Rattus norvegicus: one gene and its partners. The protein of the gene in region 1 interacts with the protein of each later gene in a pairwise test. Links are inferred from orthologs where the notes say so. Each region holds a gene or a part of one and is shown in the gene's direction. Other genes may lie near its edges. The genes, in order: Fosl1, Creb5 and Usf1.

The links.
Region 2: the proteins of Fosl1 (region 1) and Creb5 interact in binary tests that used the Homo sapiens proteins (3 or more experiments, as listed by UniProt). The two-hybrid records come from large-scale screens. The link is inferred for Rattus norvegicus from reciprocal best matches to the Homo sapiens genes FOSL1 and CREB5.
Region 3: the proteins of Fosl1 (region 1) and Usf1 interact in binary tests that used the Homo sapiens proteins (3 or more experiments, as listed by UniProt). The link is inferred for Rattus norvegicus from reciprocal best matches to the Homo sapiens genes FOSL1 and USF1.

What each region holds. Positions count from the first base shown.
Region 1 is NC_086019.1:212,189,859-212,193,014, forward strand, and holds the end of Fosl1 (fos-related antigen 1), read left to right. Parts: intron 1-1,016; coding exon 1,017-1,124; intron 1,125-1,505; coding exon 1,506-1,922; 3' UTR 1,923-2,533; downstream 2,534-3,156.
Region 2 is NC_086022.1:83,881,134-83,884,785, forward strand, and holds part of Creb5 (cyclic AMP-responsive element-binding protein 5), read left to right. Parts: intron 1-2,835; coding exon 2,836-3,008; intron 3,009-3,652. UniProt on the Homo sapiens protein: Binds to the cAMP response element and activates transcription.
Region 3 is NC_086031.1:86,376,505-86,380,256, forward strand, and holds the start of Usf1 (upstream stimulatory factor 1), read left to right. Parts: upstream 1-1,257; 5' UTR 1,258-1,303; exon of another isoform or gene 1,304-1,947; intron 1,948-3,165; exon of another isoform or gene 3,166-3,201; intron 3,202-3,752.

The sequences.
Region 1 (3,156 bases):
ATGAAAAGAAACCCTGCTTTAAAAACAAAGCAAACAACAACAAAAAGAATCTACACAGGGAAGACCAAAGGGATGGGGGACGGAGGCTGACACAAGGCTCCTAACACTTAGGAGGTGGAGGTCGAGGAATGGGGGTCTGAGGCCAGTCTTGCCTACATGTTGAGTTTAAGGCCAGCCTGGGACACATGCCAGATGTGGCAGCACACATCTTCACCTGGGTGGTAGAGGCAGGTGGGTCTCTGTGGGTCCCAGGCTAGCCTGGTCTATAAATCAACTTCAAGGCCAGGCAGGGCTACTCAGAGATTCTGTCTAAAGTACAAAGAAACAAAACTGAAAAGCAGGAAAAAAAAAACCTATGTAAGGGCTGTAACTCAGTGGTAGAGCATTTGCTAGCCTGCACCAGGCCATGGGTTTGATCCCTAGCACTAAACGAAAGTCCTAGAAATTGCTTTGCTAGTAACTTTTGGCACTCAAGGGCACCTTCTACCATTCATAGCTCCTGTGGGGAAAGAAATCTCATCTTCCACAGATGAGAAGGCTGAGAGAGTTCTGTAAAAAGAGATAATCGGGGTTGGGGATTTAGCTCAGTGGTAGAGCGCTTGCCTAGGAAGCGCAAGGCCCTGGGTTCGGTCCCCAGCTCCGGGAAAAAAAAGAACCAAAAAAAAAAAAAAAAAAAAAAAAAAAAAAAAAGAGATAATCATGTCTCACACACTCAGGAGGGATGACTACTTCAGCCTGAGAGATGAGAAGGCCTCCTGGGGTCCCAACATCTTAGTCCAGTCCTAAGATGAGGAAGGTCAAAGTTTATGGAGAGGGAAAGCATTACAGGAAAGAAACCAGCAGTAAAGCCAGGTGTGGCTGGGAATGTCATCTATGAGGTGACCAGCCGCTGGTACACAGAAACAACTGTGGAGTGTGGGTACCTAAACTACAGGCTGAAGGAAAGTTGGATGGCCAGCTCAGGGCAGCTGGTGGCTCAGGGTCAGCCTCATTGTCCCCCTTCTCTCCCAACCTAGATCAGCCCGGAGGAGGAAGAGCGCCGCAGGGTGAGACGAGAGCGGAACAAGCTAGCAGCTGCTAAGTGCAGAAACCGAAGAAAGGAATTGACAGACTTCCTGCAGGCGGTGAGCATCATCTGATACAGAGGGTCCCCAGGCCCGGAACCACCGAGCCTAAGAGGGGCCTCGGCTCCCAGGAACATAAGAGACCCAATAAGTTACTCTTCCACACTCTGCCTTCCTCCCTGTCCGAGGGGAAGTCCTGGAAAAAGGATAAGGGAAAGTGGCTTAACTATTGTTTGTCTTGGGCTTCAATGCAGAGTCCTAGTTGGTAGGCAAATCTCCTAAGACGCTTGGGCCTGATGGGAGTCATGCCCATTTTCTCCCAGGGGCTCATGGGAGTTGCAGTCCAGACTTGTTGGGGATTCCAGGCACAATCCCTACTCCAGCCTGAGGCTTGGAGATCTTTAGCCTTCATTTTCCTAACTTTCTGCTAATCCTGTAAAGGAGACCGACAAGTTGGAGGATGAGAAATCGGGGCTGCAGCGTGAGATCGAAGAGCTGCAGAAGCAGAAGGAACGCCTTGAGCTGGTGCTGGAAGCCCATCGCCCCATCTGCAAAATCCCAGAAGAAGACAAGAAGGACACAGGTGGTACCAGCAGCACGAGTGGGGCGGGTAGCCCACCGGGCCCCTGCCGCCCAGTGCCTTGTATCTCCCTTTCTCCAGGACCCGTACTTGAACCGGAAGCACTGCATACCCCCACGCTCATGACCACACCCTCTCTGACTCCTTTTACTCCGAGTCTGGTTTTCACCTATCCTAGCACACCAGAGCCTTGTTCCTCAGCCCATCGAAAGAGTAGCAGCAGCAGTGGTGACCCCTCCTCCGACCCCCTAGGTTCTCCCACACTCCTGGCTTTGTGAGGCACCCAGCCACACCCCTTGCAGGTGCTACCCGTTGTCATCTCCTTTCCCTGTTCATCCAGCAGGCCTGGACCATACCCATGCCCCAAACCAGCAGGTCTTTTATCTCTTTCAAGTAGAACAAACATGTTATGCTTTGATATAGAGCCAGCTTGGGGGTCCCCAAAGCTGCTCACTGTTTCTCTAGAGCTGGCCTATCATAATTTGCATACAGAGAAAATATGTCCCCTCTGCCAGAGTAAGCCTGGCAGCTCTGACTTTGTAGATCCCCAGTGGTCCTTTGATGCCTTGCAGACCACTTTCCCACACCATGTCACTTTCTTCATGTTATCCAGCCTACTCTAAGCCTAGATAGAAGGTGCCCTTTAACTAGCCTAGAACACTAACTCACACAGCACCAACAGCCAGCAGCACCAGGACACCCTGTAGGCTCCTCCTGATCAGGAGGCACCAACAGCTTCTGTGATGAGCTGAGCTGTACTCCCTAGCTCTGAGAAGCTTTTAGCTCTGGGGTATCCAAGCCTCCACAGCAAGGGCAGCTGCTATTTATTTTCCTAAAGAGACTATTTTTATACAAACCTTCCAAAATGGAATAAAAGGCTTGAAGCTCTAGTCTGAGTTGTCATGTTGGATCCAGAGGCTAAAGGAAACCATTTGGAACAGGAGCTCCAGGTTCCAGTCTTAGCTGTGACCTTGAAGAAACTGCCATATATGTTTTTGGACTTCAATATTCTCACCTGAAGAATGGGGCTACCTCTGTTCTGCCTGTACTGAGAGATTGAGAATGCTTTGGAGTGCAAGCAAAGAAGATTATCAATTATTTTCCCCATGGGAACCCACATTACTTCTGTCTTAAGGACTGGGGGCAGGGAAGGACGGCAGTATATCCTTCCACCATCTGACCAGGCGGGCTCAGTGGGCTTTAGGCCCCCAACACCTGCTTCCTGTCCCATTGTTTTGGACAGGAAGGAGCCTGGAAGGGAGCTGGAGCCACTTCAGTGGCCGGATTTCGGCCTGTCTTGGCGCCCATCGGGGGAGTTAGTGATCTACCACAGTCTCAAATCCCACCCCAAATCCAGGTGATGGGGAGTCAGCCCTAGCTCTGCAGCACCGCCGATGGGAACTGCACCGCATCTCTGGGTTTCCGCCCTCTTCCCAACCCCGGCGAGTTCCAGACACAAGCTGGCAGGCTTCAGGCTCTGCTTCCTTCCCAGTTTATTAGTCCCCACCCAAC
Region 2 (3,652 bases), on another chromosome or scaffold:
TCACTGACCCCCTCTGTGCTCACCACACACCCACCTGGGATGTGGTGATGGATTCCCAGGGGACAGCAAAACCAGATTTAGTTTCTACCCAGTGTGATTTCAGGTGAGAGAAGAAATAGATAATATTCATAAAATTAAGAACAGGTACAATCTCATGAAAACTCCTATGGAGGAAATGGTTTCCATCACTATAGAGGTGTGGAAATTTCCCACAGAATGGCTAGTCTGAGAGGTGAAGGGCGGAGTCAGAACCTCAGAGCGTCAGTGTCAGCGTCAAAACAAAACAAAGGGAAACAATATTACAGGTCAAACATGGAGTAAGATCAGAGTGCAGGCAGAAGAATGCCAGAGGTGGGAGGAGAGCACAGAAATGGGTAGATGAGCTATTTGGTAGGGAGGGTCCCACATCTGTCACAGATGCTGCAAACACTGCTGCTTCAAAGCACAGAAGCCACTGAGTGAGCGTGGGCAAGCACACTGGGCGCCATGTGGACTGTGGTGGGTTACACATTTGGTGTAGTGTATGGGAAGGGGGAGACAGAAGAGCCAAGCAAGAGTAAAAAGGGTCTCCCACGACAACAGAGGTTCTCAACCTTCCGAATGTTGGGACCGTTTCATGCAGTTCTTCATGTTGTGATGAACATCAATCACAAAATTCTATTTGCTACTTCTCGGCTGTAATTGTGCTACTGTTGTGATTGTGATGTGAATATCTGATAGGCAGGATATCTGATTGGCAACCTCAAAGGGGTCGAGACTGACAGATTGAGAACCTACCTCGGCATGACAGGAAAGGAGATGACAGTGGTTAGGTAAGGGCTGGAGGAATAAGGCATGGGAATATAGAAAGACGAGGGATGCTTGGGCTACACTGGTTGGATTTGAAACTGCATCTGGGGATGGCAAAAAAGAACTGTTCTGGGAAACTTACGGAGACATCATACATTTTATATTCTCCTCTGTGCTTATAAAGCTGTGACTTGAAACACCAGACTGCACAGCTTTCGTGATACACGGTGAAAACAGCACAATAAAAAGAATTTCAAAACAGTCAGAATTCTTCTAGGCTTCAGATATAGCGTTGAGATATTGGTGATTATAAGAAATATGAAAATGTTTGAGTATCTTTGAGAAGGTGAGCAATGCAAAAACATCCACACCCTGGTCTAGACTTGGGGGTGCAAGGATGTTCAAGTTCACGTTTGAGAGGAATAGCATATGATGTTTATTTTCACCATTATTTTGGTGACGTCTGAAGCTTTAGATCCTATAATGGAAAACGCAGCCAGTCCCCGCCCGCACGGCCCCCTGTCTCTACACACCATCTCCTTCCTTCTGCATGTGCCTAGCCACAGAGTTTCCTCACGTCAGAACAACCTTCAGTGTGCAAGAGGAGCTTTGGGGCCATATGTATGTATTTCTGAGCCCTTGGGACCCGTGACGACACAGTCAACTCTCAGTCTAAGCCAGGTGCCCGTTTTCCATCTGGGCTCCTTACAGAGTGTGTGGTCAGGGCTCAGAAACCACAAACCAGGGAAAGGTGCCTCGTGATGGGTGCAACCACCTCCAGTACTTACATGTTATCACCATCATTTAACACATAGTGCGGGAAATCCTGCTCTTTGCAGAAGAAATTCAAGGGCCACTTCATGATCTCCTTTGATTTTTTTTTCACTCTTGCTAACACCAAAGTGTGGACAGATACATACTTTTTTTCCTCAAGTGGATTGCAAGTGACACTCCATTTCTTTCCCTGCATCTCCAACCTATTGTCCAATTGACTGCTGGAAGTTCCCTACCCTTCTAGGCTGACCAGCACCGTACCTACCTGTACAGGGTTCTGCTTCAGACTCTTGCCTGTTGCCTTGATGGCCGTGCATTTTCTCTTCCTTTGCCAGGCTCTGCCTTAGTCACATTTCAGCCCTCGTGCCTTGATCAGTCCTCTTCAGCCATGGTGTGCCTTTCTTCTTGTCCCACTGCCTTGCTTCTTCTACTGAACGCGGTCTTATTCTAGCTTATTTCAAACACCATAGCTTCCATCAGAATCATCAGAAATCCATGCATGGCAGTAGCCTGTTGTGTGACTCAGATATTGAGTCTGGAGTTCATCTGGGCAATAGCATCTGTTGAAGAGCTACTCCACTCCACATGCCAGCATCCCACAGGATGACAAGATCCCTGTTCTATATTTCATTATTCCACGTGGCTGTCAGAGGGTGATTTTGTGAAGACACAGAAAAATATGTTACATTATTCTTGACACTGGATCCCGAGGGCCCCAATTTCATCTATTAGAACCATCACATTTTAGAACCTGCATTAAAACCTACACATTTTATAGGTTGTTCAGCACCAATGATTATAATCTAGATCCATATGAGATTCCTGGGCAAAAAGGTATGTGGTTGTGGTATTGTAGTACTGAGAGCAAGGAACTCAACCTGGTATGATGCGTACACAGAACAAGATGAATGAAATCCACCAGATCATAGCATCCTGTCCTACCAATTTCTAATGCAGTGTGCATCACCCAGTCACATGAGGTATACACTAACCCTTCTCGCCTTCCACCACATGGGCCTTCCCTCAGGGTGGCTGGTGACAGGGTGGCTCAGCAAATGTCAAGGCATTTTCAGGTATGCTTTACTCTCTGGTAAGTAGCTATTTCCTCTTAACTGTTCAGATACAGCAAGATACAGCAAGACCTATGCCTTGCTAGAAGCTTTAACTTTGTTTAGGCAAATGATCAGATTTCCAGCTTTGGCCTTGGAGGGCTGGGGAGTAGATCAAATGTTGGTTCTTTCTGACCTTTTCTCCTCTGTCTTCTCTGGGCAGAATATCTCCATGCACAATACAGTTGGTGGGACCATGACGGGGCCTGGAGCTCACCAGTTAGGCAGCTCACGGATGCCCAACCACGACACCAGTGTTGTGATTCAGCAAGCCATGCCTTCACCCCAGTCCAGCTCAGTCATCACGCAGGCTCCCTCCACCAACCGCCAGATCGGGTAAGAAGACTTCCTCTTTGTCTCTGGGAGAGCTCGAGCAACCGTTTGTACATTCTCCCTCGTTCGGGTACTTGGATTTGTTTTTCCTGTCTGGTATGACGCTGCCAAGAGGCCAGAGTGATGCTTTGGATGAGAGAAGGGGGTCTCCGTTTCCTCAGAGCTATTTTGATCGTAGATGTCAAGGGGAAAAACTATTCATTATGTGACATTATTTCTTCAAATAAGATTTGCGAATGGCAGACAAAAATAGTGGTGTTATGCTGACCACAGAAGACTGCTCGGGACAAATGTTTGGTAACAGCAGAAGTTCTGCAGCCCAGGTTCCTCCTTGCAGTGCGCCCCGTCCACAAACCCCTGCCTAGGAGTTTTGGAGCTGCTTAGCTGGGCCACTTGTATATCCCACAGCTGCCTTTCTTCCTGGTCTTTCTTTCCTACCTCTCTTTCTTGTTATTTCTTTCTCATTAGCCCTTCTTGGCCCATACTTATTTCTGGAACAGACAAAACATTGCAGGTAGGGCCCTTCCCTCTCATTTATGGAACAAGGCAATATTGAGACCTTCAGGGAAACTGGTAGGAGTCTCTTGACATCCATGTCTTGGGCTGGAGATTGTTCTCACTTCTTTATGTCATGACTGGTCCAGGGA
Region 3 (3,752 bases), on another chromosome or scaffold:
GGCTGTTTGATAATAAAAGCTGATTTTTTTTTTTTTTTTACTTTTAAATTGTGTATGTACTTACTTTTATTAAAGTTTTGGGTGAAAGGGATCACATTTGTTGCCAAAATGTACATATCTCGTTTTTTCTTATTTAGATATTCTTCCTCAGTTGTCATGGAAACCTGTGGCTAGAAAGTAGAACTGGGTTCACGGTGGTCAAGAAATGGGGAAGAGAAAACTGTATTTACATAATGTTCAACTAATGCCAGGAATTGGGCTAGATTTGTATGCTTAAAAACTCTTGAATTTATTCAATCCACTAATTTGGTGAAGGTGAATTGGCATTCGAATTTTACAGGGACATTGAGGAGATTAAGTTGTAACTAAGTAAAAATGCTTATCAAAGATCTCAGAGTCAAGAAATGGCCGTTTCTAGGTGTGGTGGCATGTCTTTAATCCTAGCAGTTAGGGGTTGGGGGGAGATCTCGTGTATTGAGTCCAGCATGATTTATGTAGGACAGGCAGTTCAGGACTATGTAAAGAGACCTTATCTCAAAGAAAAAAACAAAGAAACAAAAGAAAAAAAAAAAACAAAAAACAAAAGGGTGTCAGTTCAGGGTCCGAATGACTTCAGAATCTGAATTCTACCTATTACACTTCACTATTCCAAAATCATTCTGGGTGTTTTCACTATTCCAAAATCATTCTGGGTATACACCCAGGAAAATGGTAATCAAAATAGTCACACAAATGAGGTAAACTGGAAGCTATAAGATCTTCAGAGTATTGTTGACGCTAATACAAAGGAATATACTCAGATCCACGTACGCCCAGAAATGTCCCAAACTCCACTTGGAAACCCCTCAAAATGATGCCCTGATCCAAGATGGCGTCCCAAATTGCCCTTATGAAAGATGGCGCCTAAGAACGCCGTTTCTCCCTCTACTTCCTTTGACTGGAACTAAAAAAAGGCTCCGCCTACCACAAAGATGGAAATATAATATAGTCGTTCTTTTTTTTTCCTGGTTCTTGCTGAAAGCAAGTAGGACTCTAGCGACGTTCCCAACGATACTGTTTCTCTTCTGAGCCCGTATCAACTCACATCTCCAGGTCGGTTCTAGACCGCATCAAGTTTGAAGTGAACGGAAGTGCGGCAGCTCTGGGGCTGTCTGTAGGTTGGGCGGGTCGAGGACACACTTCCGCCCCTCACCAATATGGCCGCAGGCTGGGACTGCGCATGAGCAGCTGTCTATGGAGAGACCTAGATCCAAAGACGGAGAACGCTGCCGGGGGAAATTGGCGACTGAAGCGGCCTGGGCCGGTGAGTGCGTTGGAGCGGGCCAGAGTCCGGAGACGGGGTGGATCGGCAAGGCGGGGCACCTTTGGTTTTTGCTAGATTTTTCTCAGGCAAGGCCACGCCTGGGCACGGAGCCTTTGTTTTGGGGGAGGGGGCCGTGCCTGGCTCTTTATCTCCTGCCCTGCTTTGTGGGCCAGGCTCGCTCCCCGCCCTGGAGTGCACACGTCCCACCCGCCCCCGGTGTTCAGCTGCGAGCCTCAGGCCTCGGGAGGTCTCCGGCGTCCTAACCCGTCTCTCCTCCGCGGAGCAGCTGGGGCGTGGGCGAGCGGGGCTGGGCCGGCGGGGTCACCGCGCGGGCTGTGGGGCTCGCGCCTGGCGGGTGCTCAAGTCCCCAAGCGCCTACTACTAGTTGGTGGGCCTGGAGGGAGACGCCTCGTTCTCAGGCAAGGTCCCGGCGCCTGAATTCTTTGGGAACTTGATCTATTTGTGTGCGTGTTTCTTTTATTTCTTTTTTTTTTCTTTCTGCCTTTGCGTCTGTGCTTGGTGAGGACGTTTGCTGGGCCCTCCTTTTTTTTTTGAGCATGCAAACCACAACATCCTAGGCTGATTTCCGTGTCACATATTATTAATGCTCAGGAAACGCTTCCGGATGTACAACCAAGATTTGAGTAAGTAGCCTAACGCCGTTGCTGGGTGGCCTCAGAAGTTGCGCTGACAGCTGTGGGCTATACAGTTGCCTTCTGTGCCTTGCCCTCTCTTTCATTGCCTCCTCCTGCTGGCCATGCAACAAGCTTGGGAGGAGGAAGAGTTCCTCCCGTTAGAGGATGGAGACCTAGGTGGTCCCCAAGCCCGGACTCTGCCTCCCTTTGCAGCATTACTTTGTACGGACAGTTTCACTTTCAGTTCCTTTTTGTTGTTGTTTTTGTTGTTGATGATGATGTTACCGTTTTCTTTGCACACGGTCTTTCCAAGGCATATTATCCGCTAAACTAAGATTTTCCTTGGATTAGAAAGGTTTGGAGGATTATACGGGTAGAGCATTTTAAAAATCTTGTTCTTTCTTGTTGAGATTATTTTATTGCTTTGTACTGTGTAGCTGTTTCTTTCTGGAGGCATCTGTCTGTACAGTCCTTTGTTTTTCCTTTTCTCTGGCGGGTTGTCAAAAGTCCTAAGGCAGGAACATTGTAGATGGACTCCTCCCCCATTGTCTTCTTCAGAACCCTGAGCCTGGAGGTTTTTCCCCCCTCCTCCTGAGGCTTAGTTGATTTGGAGTTGTCATGGCAACATTTTAGCAACTGTGTTGCTCTACAGGAAGCCTTGCTGAATAAAATAAAGAAGCCTTGAATATGATGCACTTGGGCACTGGTGTTTGTAACAGATGCTGTAAATCTGGACTCTCACAAAACAAGAGCCCTGATAGCAGAATGATGCCCAAGAGCCAAACCTCAGTTTTATGTTTAGCGATGGTTTCCCAGTGGCAAAAAACATGTCAGTTTTTCCCTTCTTAGAGAGGACTGGAATGCATTTTCTGTTCTTACTTGATTTTGAAGCAGGATCTCTCTATACATAGCCTTGGCTGTCCTGAAACTCTGTAGACCAAGCTGGCGTTGAACTCACAGAGAATCACCTGCCTCTGCCCCCTAAGTGCTGGGACTGTGTGCACCAAAACCCCTGGTGAGGACTAGAATGTCTTTTTAGAATGTTCTTTTTTGTTTTTTTGTAGAAAGGGTTTCTCTGTGTAGCCCTGGCTGTCCTAGAACTCACCCTGTTGATCACCCTGTTGATCAGGCTGGCCTTGAACTCCGAGATCTGCCTGCTTCTGCCTTCTGAGTGTTGGGATCAAAGGATCCAACCACTACCTCCCAGCTTTGAATTTCTTTTTGCAGTCTGTGTCTGAGAAGCTGGAACCAGATGGACCGTAGGTAGGTAGGTAGGTTGGTTATGATGTGGTGGGTGTTAGTTAATAGTTTGGATAGTGGTGGTCTAAACTTTGCCCTTGCTATTCCTAAGGAGCTGCTGTCATCGAGTATAATGGCTTTAGTAATAATCTGTAATAGCTTCAAATACGCACCCTGAGACACATTGTTTCTCAGTCTTCAAGGATAACTTTCTCCTTGCCACCAGGAGTTGGGATGAAAATGGAGGAGCAGCTGAGTGGTGGTGACCATGCCTTTAATCCTAGCACTAGGTGGGCAGAGGCAGGCAGGATCTCTGAGTTCAGAGGCCAACCTGATCTACAGAGTGAGTTCTAGGAGGATCAGGGCTACAAGAGAAACCCTGTCTCAGAAAGGAAGGAAGGAAGGACGGACGGACGGACAGGTTATGGTGTGTACGTGCACATACATGTTTATGGTGTGTACGTGCACATACATGTGTGCGATGGGCTGGGTACCTGGGATGGTCAGGACAACTTTCAGGAGTTGCTTTTTGTCTGTCTGTTTTGGTTTGGTTTGTTTGAGATACGGGTTCTTTG